Sus scrofa: one gene and its partner. The protein of the gene in region 2 interacts with the protein of the main gene of each other region in a pairwise test. Links are inferred from orthologs where the notes say so. Each region holds a gene or a part of one and is shown on either strand. Other genes may lie near its edges.

Region 1 (7,386 bases), on a different chromosome or scaffold from region 2:
TCCTGGAGCTATAGTTAGTGTCAAAAAGTAAGCTCCAGGAGTTCCCCTGGCGGCCTAGCAGTTAAGGATTTGGTGGTGTCACTGCTAGGGTGCAGGTTCTTATCCCTGGCTCAGGAACTTCCGCATGCCCTGAGCACCACCAAAAAAAAAAAAAAGAGGGGGAGTAAGTTCTAGTCTTTAAACCCTGCTCTGGGGGTTCAGGCTGACTTGCGCAGAGTTCCAAAGTCTTTTGCTGCTGCACTGGAAAGATCCAGGCACTAGGAGACAGTTTATAAATGCTAACCTGTCAAGAGCAAGAAGAAAGATTCATGTCTCTCCCTGACTTCCTGGCCAAAAACTTTGCTCTGCTTCCTGTTAAATCTCAAAAAGAACAAATTAACTAATGGCCCACCTGCCCTTAGCTTACAAACCCAGAAATTGCCCTGGTGCTTTATGAGCAGTCACCTTTTTGTCTGGCTCTTTGGATGAAGCCAAGGGGAGGAGACTGGGAGCCTGGGGATGTGGTGTCAGGATAAGATTCTAGTTTGGAAGATCTGATAGTCTGGAGGGACTTGTCAAGAATTGTCAGGTGTCCACTGTGTGCATGTGCCTGTGGAAGGAGAGATCAGTGGAGAGAGTGGGAGGCTGAGGCAGAAAAATGGAGAGGGGCAGAGACTGATGAGTCTTGGAAAAGACTAAAATGATTTTGAACTACTGGTTTTTTCCCTAGTAAGTTTATTTAATTAATTTATTTATTTACTTATTTAGTCTTTTTAGCACAGCATATGGAAGTTCCCAGGCTAGGGGTCGATTCAGAGCTGCAGCTGCCGGCCTACACCACATCCACAGCAATGCAGGATCCAAGCTGTGTCTGAGACCTACACCACAGCTCATGGCAATGCTGGATATTTCACCCACTGAGCGAGGACAGGAATCAAACCTGTATCCTTATGGATACTAGTCGGGTTTGTTACTGCTGAGCCACAATGGGAACTCCTTTATTTTCTCTTGAATCAGAGACAAAAGTTTTTATTGTGCAGTTGAGTTTTTTTTAATGAAAGTCTGCAAAGCAAAATTATATGATTAAAAATTGTTAGACAATGGTTCATCATGCTGTACAGTAGAAAAAATGACAGAACTCTGTAAACCAGCTATAATGGAAAAAATATCATTATATAAAATAAAGACAGTTCCCATCGTGGCGCAGTGGTTAACGAATCCGACTAGGAACCATGAGGTTGCGGCTTCGGTTCTTGGCCTCGCTCAGTGGGTTAACAATCCGGTGTTGCTGTGAGCTGTGGTGTAGGTTGCAGACGCCGCTCGGATCCCATGTTGCTGTGGCACTGGCGTAGGCTGGCAGCTACAGCTCGGATTCGACCGCTAGCCTCGTGAACCTCCATATGCCGTGGGAGCGACCCAAGAAATGGCAGAAAGACTAAATAAATAAAGACAAAATATTTTTTAAAATTGTTAAAAAAGAAAAAGAAAAAGGAATTCCCATCGTGGCACATTAGAAACGAATCCGACTAGGAACCATGAAGTTTCGGGTTAGATCCCTGGCCTTGCTCACCGGGTCAAGGATCCATTGTTGCCGTGAGCTGTGGTGTAGGTTTGCAGACGCTGCTTTGATCTGGCATTGCTGTGGCATAGGCTGGCAGCTACAGCTCTGATTAGACCCCCTAGTCTGGAAACCTCCATATGCCAGGGGTGCGGGCTCCCCCACCAAAAAAAAAGAAAAGAAAAAATTTTGTATTTTGTTTTCTTCTTCACTTTAGCATGTGTGTTCTGTTGCCATAATTGACATTTAAATGACCTCATAATATTGCTCTAAGTGACTATACTGATATTTAGCCATTCCCCAACAGTTGAGATTTGTTTTTTTAAATGAATGATGCCTTTAAGAACATTGTGCTCAAAGTGTTTTCTCTTTTCCAATGAGCTCTTCTTTTTTGTCTTTTTTGGGCCGCATCCCAAGGCATGTGGACTTCCCAGGCTAGGGGTCGAATCAAAGCTGTAAGCTGCCAGCCTGGACCACAGCCATCAGATCAAAGACTCTGCAGCTCTATCTAACCCACTGAGCTAGTGCCAGGGATGGAATCCACGTCATGGATACTAGTCATGTTCCTTACGGCTGAGCCACAACGGGAACTCCACCAATGACTTTATTAAATTTCCTTCTGAATAGATCTTGCCAGCTTACAGTATGACCAGCTATTTACTAATTTTCCCATTTCCCTTCAGCCAGCCTCTTCATCTCTAAGTATTATAGTTTAAAAAAATAACCTTTTGTTCATTTGATAAATGCAAGGTGGGCATCATGTGTTGTTAAAAGGCATTTTTGAAATGACTTGTGTTTTCTGTGGTTTAATTGGCATTGCCCAGCTTATTGTGGTCAGAGATCTCAGTTTGGAGCGCCTGAAGTTAGGGTTGATGCGGGCTCACGCGCCCCCTAACGACCAAAACTGCCAGTGACTGAGGGGGGACGGGGGGGGCTCTGAGTGCGTGCGCACTCCATTCTCCAAGCCGGTTTTGCGGCCACCGTTTTCCGGGGTGTGGGAGAAGAGCGAAGACGCTGGCGGGGACTTGACAATGCGCAGGCGCATCACGAAGCCTGTGGATTTGTGGCCAACCGAGCATGGGCGTGGGCTGGCTGCGTCGGCGCACTGGAGGCCTGGAGGGTCGAGGCGCGTGCGCAGTCGCGCTTCCTTCAGCTGCAGCCATGGCAGGCCAAGAGGATCCCGTGCAGCGGGAGATTCACCAGGATTGGGCGAACCGGGAGTACATTGAAGTCATCACCAGCAGCATCAAGAAAATCGCAGACTTTCTCAACTCGTTTGGTCAGCGGGCGAGCAGGGGGAGGCAGGGAGGAGGGGGGCCCGCCTAGGGAGGGCGCTGAGAAGCTTTGACGCGGGTTCTGGGAGCCGTGGGCTCCTGCTGGTGTTTGCTTCCGCCTTCAGGCCGCACTTTTCCCCTCTCGCTCTGACCCCCGGCCTCCACTGATCATTCCCTGTGGGGTTATCCTGCCCCACGCTGAGCTCATCGGCTTCATTGCCTTCCCCCCGCATCCAGTAACAAGTCCGTTCCTTTCCCGGACGTGTCAGACAGCCCCATCCATCGCCTGAATCTTTCCTTCTCTTCAGGCGTCTCCCTTCTTTTGTGCTTCGTTTCAGTCGTCACTTGGTGCTCAGAGAGCGCTGTCCAGAAGCCCTTTAGCGTCGAGCCTGTTAGTCGCCCCTCCTGTCGGTCCTTTCCTGTCTCGGCGTGTGCTGTGCAGAGTGGTAGATGAGAGCGGAGGAGGGCCCACATCGCGTCCGGCCAGGGACATCTCTGCATCGCTAGTATCTAGACCACAGTGGGTGTTGTCTGCTTCTAGCAAAATCTTTCCTTGGCATGACCTGTCCGTGACAGTCTTAAAGTTCCTTCCGCGTTGTTTCCTATCCTTGTGCTACACCCTGCAGCAGAGACTCCTGACTCTTGTTCTCCGAGTGTTACTTTGAAAGAACCGGGCACTGGGTAAACTTTTTATGTCATCACAAGGTGTGGGGATGACATCTAGTGATCTTTTTCCAGTTGTGCTTCTGGCCCACTAATTCAGCAACATTAAGCGATTAAGTAGGGGAAACTGATAAATTTAAAAAGACTTAAAAAGGAATTATTTTCTTGCTAAGAGAAGTCCAAAGGAGTGTATAAAGGTGACAGCAAGAGATTTGTCCAAAAGCATCAGCAAGACAAACTAGATCTGAGTACAAGGCTCTTTCTCAGTCTCTGTGGGGAAGACAGAATAAGAACCATTTCCTACAATTAAGTGATTTCTATTTTGAAGATGAAATAATGACATCAGAGCAAAGCAGAACATTGTTTCTGATTTAATATATTTACATATAGGAATTCCCCTTGTTGCTCGGCAGTAACAAACCTGACTAGTATCCATGAGGACCTGTGTTTGATTCTTGGCCACACTCAGTAATTTAAAGATCTGTGTTGCAGGAGCTGTAGTGTAGGGTGCAGAGGTGGCTGGGATTCTGCATTCCTCTGGCTGTGGTGTAGGCCAGCAGCTACAGCTCCGATTCAACCCCTAGCCTTGGAACTTCCATATGCCTTGGGTTTGGCCCTGAAAAGACAAATATATACATGGTCTTTTACATTTGTATGTAAATACACATTATTTATTTATAATAAGCTTATAAAATATATAAATATATATACTTGCATACAAATGTGTAGGACTATAACCTTTTTAAAAAATGTTTAAAATTCTTATAGCCATACCCATGGCATATGGAAATTTCTGGGCCAGGGATTGAATTCAAGCCACAGCTGCAGCAACAACAGATCTTTTAACCCAGTGCCCTGGGCTGGAGATTGAACCCACACCTCTGCAGTGACCAGAGCCACTACAGTCGGATTCTTAACCCACTGCACCACTGCAGGACCTCTAGAACTATAATCTTGATATGTTTTGGGATGGTGGAGTCCTCATTCAGGGACTGGGGGAAAGGTTGTATTAGTGAGCAGTAAGAATAGTATAAATTATATGCCAGTGATACATATTCATACATATTACTTGCTATAGAAGTTGTGATAGGAATGGTAGTTAAGAAATTATAGATCTCTGGGAGTTCCCATCATGGCTCAGTGGTAATGAACCTGACTAGTATCCATGAGGACTCTCACTGATTCCTGGCCTTGCTCAGTGGTTTAAGGATCTGGCGTTGCAATGAGCTGTGATGTAGGTCTTAGATGCAGCTCGGGTCCCTTGTTGCTGTGGTATAGGCCGGCAGCTGAAGCTCTGATTCAGCCCTTAGCCTTCCATATGCCATGGGAGCAGCCTTAAAAATACAAAAAAAAAAAAAGAAAGAAAGGAAATTATAGATCCCTGGAAGTTCCTGTGTGGTGCAGCAGGTTAAAGAGGCACAAGCCACAACTGTGACACAGGCTGCAACTGTGGCACAGTTCAGTCCTTGGTCTGGGAACTTCCACATGCCGAGGGTGTAGCAAAAAAAAAAGCAGCAGCAGAAAAAGAAGAAATAGAAATTAGTATCCATGAGGATTCAGGTTCGCCCTTGCTGTGGGCTGTGGTGTAAGTCACAGACTCGGCTCTGATCCCAAGTTGCTGTGGCTGTGGTGTAGGCTGGCAGTTACAGGTCCATTTTGACCTGGAACTTCCATATGCCATGAGTACAGCCCTAAAAAGCAAAATAAATAAATAAGTTCCTGGGCCAGGGATTAAACCTCAACAGTGACAACCTTTACCTGTTGAGCCATGGACCTCCCTCAAGTTTTTTCTGTCTTTTTTTTTCTTTTTTTTTTTTTAGCGCTGCCATATGGAAGTTCCTAGGGGTCGAATTGGAGCTGCATCCACCAGCCTGTGCCACAGCCACAGCAACACGGGATTCGAGCTGTGTCTGCAACCTACACCACAGCTCATGGCAACGCTAGATCCTTAACCCACTGAGCCAGGGCTCAAACCTGTGTTCTCATGGATGCTAGTTGGGTTCGTTAACCACTGAGCCGTGATAGAACTTCCCCTGAAGTTATTTTTTAAAGTTCATTGTAAACTCTTTCAATGTTCTGATAATTGTCCCTCCTACTTTCTTAGAGAGCTAAACTATTATTGAGGATTCTTTACTCATAACATTCTGTCAGAGAAAAGGCCACATAGGAGCAAGCAAAATATTCCATGCTCAGGGAAGGATGGAGTGCTGACAGGATCACAGTTTTGAGACTTTGTCCTTTTCTGTAGAGGCATGGAAAGCAGTTGGACAAATAACTGACATGGAGAGTTTTTTCTTTTAAAAGCAGAATTAAAAGACTTCATTTATCTGGTAGGAGTTAATATTGGATATGTAGAAAGAATATCCAAGCAAAGTATTAAGAATGTCAGTTCAGTAAATAAAGAACCTAAAAAAAACCCAGTTAAACTGGGACTGTTTTTCAAAATTTAAGTCATCTAGCATCCCAGTCCCCCTAGTTTGCATGCAGATAATGTAATAACTTCATTTTTGAGCACTGAATCATGTTAATAAGCATATAATAAACATATGTTTATCTCTGGCACAAAACTTCTTGACGTATCACTAAATTTATAGTGAGTCTTGGAACTAACTGAAAATTTTGAGTTTGAGCTTAGGCTTTGTGGAGGAGAAATGTGTCTTTTCCTGCTTTATAAGTAAGGAAATAGCTGCTGTGAGATTTTGTATCTGTGTGTCACATTTTATTATTAGATAGAGAATGCTTTTCTTTTTTTGAAATTTCCAACAAGTTCTAGACCAACAAGCCTGGAAATAAACACACAGGAGTCCAATCTTCAGGAGCTGGAAGGAATGGTTTCCCTCAGTTTAGGCCAGTTTAGTGGCCTATCCTTTAAAGTGAGGATAATGGCCTAGCATTTGGAGTAATTAGTAGGTAGTTTGTGAAGATCTTAGGAAGTAAATTTAATCCTTTTAACGAAAAAAACATTAATTACAAGTAAGAACAATTAGCAAAATTTAAAGTTAAAGCAATTTGACTTAGCAGTTCAGTATACCTGAGGCAAGTTCCTGAAGATTGACAGTATAACGAAACAAAGACCACCAGGCTGAGAAACTGGATAAATCATAAGGACAGACTTGAGTCTGTCGTCTTGGACTTGGATGACTCAGGATGAGTGAGTGGGATTTATTTTCCCATTCTAAGCCCTGAGTATGACTCAGTTCTGCTGTGTACCTGGGAGGCTTGTGTTGTGTTTATCATGTGATTTGGTGGTACAAAGAGTTTGTTGGCGTTTATTTTGAGGGGGCATCTGTAGCACTTTAAACATACAATTCTCACCCTAACCACAGTCTTCGTAGGCCTTGTGCTCTGGAGAGGGAACTCTTTTTCCAGGTTATCGAAAGACTTTCTGAACAGCTTTTACTCTGTGATTCCAACTGGTGAGAATGGAGTTTTGATCTTTTTTTTGGTCATTTTTGCCTTTTCTAGGGCCACTCCCGTGGCATATGGAGGTTCCCAGGCTAGGGGTCAGATCAGAGCTGTAGCCGCCAGCCTACGCCAGAGCCATAGCAACACGGGATCCAAGCCGCATCTGCAACCTATACCACAGCTCATGGCATTGCCGGATCCTTAACCCACTGAGCAAGGCCAGGGATCAAACTTGCAACCTCATGATTCCTAGTCAGATTCGTTAACCACTGAGCCACAATGGGAACTCCAAGTTTTGATCTCTTGTTGGTTTTCCCTTTCAGTGCTAAAGACCTCCTGAACCTAAGGACACACAGATCATGATGCAGCCATGACATCCTGACATTAGGCCTATTCTGTATGTTGAATTGATGAAGATTTTAAAAATACATTATTACAGATGATAGTTTTTTAGTTTTACACCTTTTTCTCTGACTCTAAAGCTAATTGATATGTACAGAGAAATGT
Region 2 (7,551 bases):
AGAAAAGTCGTCATGCTCGCTGATTGGACTTTATTTCTTCTCTCTTCTATTTATGATATATTTTACTTGATGTTTTTCTTTCTCACGTTTCCTTTTCCGCTGGTCAGATTTCTATTTTATTCTCTCTTTTCACCTCATTACTCTGGAAGTTCTGTTTGTCTTTTCGGTTTTGTTAGTACCTCTCTCCTGGGCGTTTTGCCCTAGTGATTGTGAATCAGCCTGTATTTCTTCACTGAGAGGTCAAAGCAAAGTAATCCTTACTCTTGGCCACCACCTGGATGGCCTTGTCACCTGCTCGCCTTCCTCCTTCTTCCACCAGCAAATTAAAACAGAGTGGCCTTGTTAACACCCCCAGTGTCCCCATCCACTTCTGATAACCTCGGGCTTTGGCTTGGTTGAGCCATTCAGGTCTCTGAGCAGCAGCAAAAGAGAAAGGAAAGGAAGCATAGCAGCTTGGGCTCCTGCGGGCCAGCCCGGGACCGATAATAAAGGGAGGGTACCTGTCTGCTCCTGACGCCCTGCATCCATGGCCTTCCAACCCTGGGAACTGTGCCAAGCCGGGAGAGAACCAGCGCTTCCACTGCAGCAGCAACTCGAGCTGCTGCAATTAGAGTCTTAACCCACTGCACCACAGCCGGAACTCCCAGAACTATATTTCTAAGCAGAAGGCAGTTAAGTTAAAAGTCAGTAAAAGAAGAGCATAACATGGAGTTCCTGTCGTGGCGCGTCGGAAACGAATCTGACCAGGAAACATGAGGTTACGGGTTTGATCCCTGGCTTTGCTCGGTGGGTTAAGGAGCCGGCATTGCTGTGAGACGTGGTTCAGATCCCGTGTTGCTGTGGCTGTGGTGTAGGCAGGCGGCTGCAGCTCTGATTAGACCCCTGGCCTGGGAACCTCCATATGCCAAGGGTGCAGCCCTAAAAAGACAAAACAAAGAAGAGCATAACAGTCCCGATGTGGTTGGAATTTTTTTTTGTTGTTGTTGTCTTTTTAGGGCCGCACCTGCAGCATATGGAGGCTCCCAGGCTAGGGGTCGAATTGGAGCTGTAGCCACCGGCCTACACCACAGCCACATCAAATCCCAAGCCACACCTGTGACCTACACCGCAGCTCACGGCAACGCCGGATCCTTAATGCACTGAGCGAGGCCAAGGATCGAACCCGCATCCTCATGGATCCTAATCAGGTTTGTGACTGCTGAGCCAAGAAGGGAACTCCCCAAAGCTGGATTTTTACAGGAGCAACCAAATATAAAGAACTGAGAAAAGTCCAAACAAAAAGTTAAGCACTTTACATACCTCTATGCTTGGAATTCACAGAGCATTTTCATGATTACTGTTTCTCTTTTTAAGTTATAGTTGATTCACAATGTTCTACCAGTTCTGCTGCACAGCAAAGTGACTCAGTCCTACACACATACATTCTTTTTCTCACATGATCTTCTATTATGTTCTATCACAAGTGATTGGACACAGGAGTTCCCGCAGTAGCAGAGCGGAAACAAATTCCAATTAGGAACCATGAGGTTTCGGGTTCAAACTCTGCCCTCGCTCAGTGGGTTAAGGATCTAGCATTGCCGTGAGCTGCGGTATAGGTCACAGACACGGCTCAGACCCTGCCTTGCTGTGGCTGTGGTGTAGGCCGGCAGCTATAGCTCGGATTGGACCCCTAGCCTGAGAACTTCCATATGCCTTGGGTTTGGCCCAAAAAAGCAAAAAACAACCAAAAAAACAGTAATTGGATATAGTTCCCTGTGCTATACGATAGGATCTCATTGCTTATCCATTTTAAATGTAATCATTTGCATCTAACCCCAAATCCCCGTCCATCCCACTCCACCCCCCCCCACCGCAACCACAAGTCTGTTTTCCATGTCAGTGAGTCTGTTTCTTTTTTTAAAATTTTTTGTCTTTTTAGGGCCGCACCTGCGGCATACGGAAGTTCCCAGGCTAGGGGTCTAATCAGAGCTGCAACTGCCTGTCCTACACCATAGCCACAACGCCAGATCCAAGCTGCACCTGGAACCTACTCCACAGCCCAGGGCAACGCCAATCCTCAAACCACTAAGCAAGGCCAGGATGCTAGCTGGGCTCATTACCGCTGGGCCACAACAGGAACTTCCCTGTTTCTGTTCTGAAGATAGGCTCATTTGTGCCATATTTTGGATTCCACATATAAGTTACACGATATTTATCTTCCTCTTTCAGACTTACTTCACTTAGCATGAGAATCTCTAGCTGCATCTGATGGTTGTTTCTCTTCATTCTTCACTCGATTATATTCAGAACTGGGAGGTGTGTCCCCCACCTGACTGGAAAACAGAAGCCGTATCACTTGTGCAAGCTGGATTCCTGATTTTTTTTTTTTGCTATTTTGTGACTAGGTCAACAGGCCAAGAAATCATCATACGTTTCCTTAAAATTGTCTGTGCAATGAATGTTAAAGCAATATACTACCCTGTGCCAAGTTCTGCTCTAAACCTCTGAGACAGAGTAAGACCCTCAAGGAGCCTTCAGTCCGGTAAAAGTCGTGAAGACGAGTCCAGTGGGAACGCAGAATAATTCAGACCCGGCCTTTCCCACCCGGGGGTCTCGGTTTCGAGAAAGACACCCCGACACTTCTGACTGCAATAACGAAGAGCAGCCTCTGAGATGTCGGGGAGGGTCCGGCTGCGGTACTAAACGGGGTGGGGCCCTCTGCGTGAGACCGCGACTCCCATCATTACGCAGGACCTTCTCGTTCAGCGCGGGAAGATGGCTCTCAGATCTCTGAAAGCTGTAAACTCCACGCTGGAGAAAAACTTTAAAAGAGCGAGCACCGCAGCGCCCCAACTCCCAAGCCAGGGGCCGCTGGGAGCAGCGCCAGACTGAAGGGGGAGGGGAGAGAGGAGAGAGCGTGTGTGCGCGCGCGCGCGTGCGCGCGGGGGCGGGTGGGAGCAGACGGGCGCGAGACGGAGACGACGGGCCCGGAGGGAGAAGGGAGGGCGTGCGTGCGCGTGCGTGGGGCAGCAGAGGGGCGGAGCGCGGGCCTCAAGGGGAGAGGATGTATCAGGAAGAGCGTGCGTGCGCGCGCGGCCGCGTAGCGCGGATCGCGTCGCCCACCACTGACGTGCGCGCCCCCGCACCTAGTTCTACCCGCGGCCTGACCGTAAAGAGGGGCGGCCGTGTCGTGAAAGGGGCCGCAACACGCAGGGCGCTGGTTGACGGCTAGGACTCCATTTTGTCCTCCGCTTCTCAGCTCGTAAGTCGCTTGATTCCGTGGCTGCTCTGAGGCGAAAAGTTTAAACGGGGTAAAAGTTTGAGAGAATATTCTGGAAGTGTGTCGGTAAGCATAGCGAGTCTCCATTTTCTTTCTGCAGCCGACTCGGCTCCTGCGGTTCCGGAACAGCGGGAGGAGATGCGGCCCCTGGACATCGTCGAGCTGGCGGAGCCGGAGGAGGTGGAGGTGCTGGAGCCCGAGGAGGATTTCGAGCAGTTCCTGCTCCCGGTCATCAACGAGATGCGGGAGGACATCGCGGCGCTGACCCGCGAGCACGGGCGGGCGTACCTGCGCAACCGGAGCAAGCTGTGGGAGATGGACAATATGCTCATCCAGATCAAGACGCAGGTGGAGGCCTCGGAGGAGAGCGCGCTCAACCATCTTCAGAGCGCGGACGACGCGGTCGAGGGCAGGGGGACCAAGAGGTGCGAGAAGGCCGAGGAGAAGGCCAAGGAGATCGCGAAGATGGCAGAGATGCTGGTGGAGCTGGTCCGGCGGATAGAGAAGAGCGAGTCGTCCTGAAGCCGGGTCGGCGGTAAGGCGGGGGCCCGGGGCTGCCCCCCTCTTGGCTCGGCCTCGGGGCCGTGGATGGAACAGCGAGCCCCTCGGGGTGGGAGTTGGGAGGAGAGAGTGAAACATGCTGCGTGTTTACCTTAGGAGGTCTTAGGACAGACCGTTTGTGTGCTTTTTCAGTCTCAGGAAGCTAGAGGGAAAAAGTGGGCGGGTGGGTTGATTCGGTTTCGTCTGTGTGTGTTCGCAACGTAAGGTCACGGTCAGTAGGATCAACTCGAGGGGCATAAGCAAAAGTCCCAGAGAACGAGATCGTGGTAGGGCCCATTGAGCTGGGGTGGAGAGAAATAAATGTACGATTGCTGGAGGGAAGGCTGTTTCTGGACGGTTCCAGAATTCGCTGGAAGCCTGAAAAGAGTCAGATGGCATCCCGGAGAGGTGGTGCCCTGCGGGGCTGCAGGTGTGAGGGCGTTGGGTTGGGTTTTCTTGAAGGATTAACCTGTTAATGCTGAGTTTCTCCCGATTGCACTTCAGGTTTACAGCCAATGGATTCTGGTCCACTGATGGAGATTGGCTGACACCCTGGAGAAGCTGAAACCAGAGAGCCTTTTGTTTTCTCTTTTTTTCTCTGTCTACACTCTTGTCCTCGCTTACACTACGTTTCTGCTATGGTCTGTGGTTAATGACCTCAATATGAGTTTTTGATTGTTAAGTGTTTTTGTTTGGGGAGGTAACTTTTATTTGGAAAACGTTCTCACGAGCAAGAATTAGGGCCTAGATTGTAAGCTCTTGCAGCAGTCACGTTTGTTCCTGGGCTTTTGTTGTTTCTAAATTTTTGAGGTGCTTTGCTCTTTCTTGTGTGACCTGATAGCTTCCTGGAACTTTGGGTCTGTGTGTGACGGATGAGACTCAGAGCTGGAGTTCTCCAGCTCTGAAGGTGCTGAAGGAACTGCATGATATCTGGAAGACGACTCCATGCAGCAGTTTTAAAGAAGCTGAAGAGGGGACCAGACTTCTACTGGGAATGTGAATGGGGCTGATCTGGCTAGGACTGATGAATCAGAAGGGGTGGAGGATGGTATTGTTTGGGGACTTTAATTTCTGTGTGAGACCAAAGGAGGAGAGATGTATTTTGTTCAAAATGTAAGTTTTATGCGGCACACTGTGTGATGTAACCTGTCTGGTCAGTTTGTTTGGACAACCTTACTCAGCTTTACTCGACGTGGAACTGAGAATAGAACATGAGATAGGTCTTGGTGTTCTGTATAATTGATAGAATACCCTGATGCATTTTAAGGCATTCTGGGCATAAAATAAAAGCGATATTTGCAAAAGCCCTTGAAGGTCTGGGGAAGAAAAGCAAGGGCTGTCTGTTTTGGACCCTAAACTGGATAGGGACTAAGTACTTTCAACATCCATAAGTTGTCTAGCTATAAGTTCATTTCAGCAGCAGACCTGACAAGTATTTGAGGTCAAAACCCTACCATGTGTTTAAAAAGAAATTTACCATGTTAATAAAAGTATTCATTTGCTTGAAAAGACAAAAGACCTGAGAAATCATTGAGTTAAGAAATTTCGTTTCTTTAAGAAAAATTTCCTTCGTAGCGGTCATCTTTGCCAAATGGGGGGTGGATTTATTGGGGTTTTTAAGCCCCAAATTACGGAGGAGGTAATCATATCTCTGCGTGCTGCTATGGAGACTGGCGGAGGAAAAAGCATGGGGTTGGCCCTTGGTATTGAGGGGGTTGGTTCCAAAACCCTTCACCCCCTCCCCACAGATAACCAAGATCCAGGGATGCTCACATTCCTTAGGAAAAATTGTCGTACAGTCGGCTCTCCATGGCCATAGATTTTGCATCCTACAGAGCCTGCCTGCACTCTGATTTTCATCTCAGGATCTGCTTCCTGGGGCATCCAGCTGATAGCAAGCGTGAAACTGGAAAACCATGTGTCACAAGCTAGATACCGTATCTTAGAGGACTGAGGAGGAGAAAGAAAGCATTTCAGAGCAAGTAAGGTGAACCTGGCCTTGAGGGATGGACACAGATTCCGAGGACAAGGAGAGAGTGAGGGACACCCAGGCACAGGGAACAGAAGGTGCCGGAGTTCTGGTGTTGGGGGTGGTGAGGGCGAGTATGATGAGCAGCATCAGGAAAAAACAAACAACAAAGCCACATTTGGTAGTTTGCCCCAACTAGTACAGTAACGCTGGTACAACAGTCAGTATCTCACGAGTTTGACACCAAGGCCTTTTTTCAGTTTCAGGATATCACCTCGCAGTTGGTAATTTATCTTTAAAAGAGGTAATACAATGAGTAAGAATTGGTCTGTTCCTTTTCTCAGCTTCCCAGTTCCCCTCTAGGAAGACAACCATTCACCAGTATCTTAAATATCATTACAAACACCATGTGTTTTAGAACATACACAAGACTTTCTCCAACCTCTTTTTTTTAAAAAAACATAGAAATACTAATCTGTGAATGTTCTGGGATAGTTTTTCTACCTAAAACTATAGTTTGAAAGTTAACCCTAGGGAGGTGCTTTCGTGGCTGAGAGGTTAATGACCCTGAGTAGGATCCATGAGGATGCAGGTTCGATCCCTGGTCTCGCTCAGTGGGTTGGGGATCCTGTGTTGCCGTGAGATGTGGTGTAGGTCCCAGACACAGCTCGGACCCCAGATTGCTGTGGCTGTCACTTAGGCCCGCACCTGCAGCTCTTTCAACCCCTGGCCTGGGAGCTTCCATATGCCTCACGTGCGGCCCTTAAAAGAAAAAAAAAAGAAAGTTCACCCCATCTAAATAGCTAGATCTGCTGTTTGGTTTTTTTTTTTTTTTTTTTTAATGGCTGCATATTATTCATTGTACTATAAGTAGAGGTAGGTGACTGTTCCGGCTTGCGACTGCTAGGTTGGAGAAGCAATTGAATCTTGCATTTTCTAAGAATGTGGTAAGGAGCCATTTGGAGAGGCCGTCTTAAAGGGCTGTACAATACTGAGTCTGGCCAGAGTTGCCAGAATTTTTTTTTTTTTTTTTTTTTTTTAGCTTTTTAGGGCCGCAACAGCGGCATAAGGAGCTTCCCAGACTAGGGGTCGAACAGGAGCTACATAGCTGCTGGCCGGCACCACAGCAACGCAGGATCCGAACCATGTCTGCGATCTACACCACAGCTCACAGCAATGCTGGATCCTTAACCCACTGAGAAGGCCGGGGATTGAACCCATGTCCTCATGGACACTAGTTGAGTTCGTTACTGCTGAGCCATGACGGGAACGCCCAGAGTTTTTTATTACAGACCCGTATGTCCCTCATGAGCCCCAGGCCCTCTCTCCGTTCCCTGACGGTCAGAGATGAGGCCACGGGCGGCTGTGCAGAAAGGGCCAGCTGGGTTCTTGGACGGGTTCCTGACACAGCAGAGGCCAGTGTCCTTTTATATCAAAGCGCTGTTGCCGAAAGAGCGAGGAGGCCGGGCAGGGAAGCGCACTCAGCGGGGGGCAGGCAAGGCATTTCGCAACAGGAGCTCTGAGGGGTGGAGGCCGGTGCAGAAGGTTCAAAATCCTGGCTGGTGTCGTGCCTGGTCAGAGTCAGGCTGGAGCGATCACAAAGCCGCCCTACAGGGGCTTTGGCGTCGGCTTTCATCAGCTGAAGCGACCCTGGTAAGAAAGCGGTTTAATTCTAGTGGACACCGCAGTAGGACGGGCAACAGCCAAGGACGAGTTCACCACATTGGGGCCGAGGGTTGGGGAGCATTATTCAAGTCTGGCCCCAGGTGAAGCGGGGTCCGTC

Evidence for each region.
Region 1: the proteins of MORF4 family-associated protein 1 (region 2) and BRK1 interact in binary tests that used the Homo sapiens proteins (3 or more experiments, as listed by UniProt). The link is inferred for Sus scrofa from reciprocal best matches to the Homo sapiens genes MRFAP1 and BRK1.

The regions. Positions count from the first base shown.
Region 1 is NC_010455.5:66,312,900-66,320,285, forward strand, and holds the start of BRK1 (protein BRICK1), read left to right. Parts: upstream 1-2,538; 5' UTR 2,539-2,614; coding exon 2,615-2,816; intron 2,817-7,386. UniProt on the Homo sapiens protein: Involved in regulation of actin and microtubule organization. Part of a WAVE complex that activates the Arp2/3 complex. As component of the WAVE1 complex, required for BDNF-NTRK2 endocytic trafficking and signaling from early endosomes.
Region 2 is NC_010450.4:4,118,548-4,126,098, reverse strand, and holds MORF4 family-associated protein 1, read left to right. Parts: upstream 1-3,019; 5' UTR 3,020-3,241; exon of another isoform or gene 3,242-3,359; 5' UTR 3,360-3,397; coding exon 3,398-3,781; 3' UTR 3,782-3,794; intron 3,795-4,303; 3' UTR 4,304-5,315; downstream 5,316-7,551.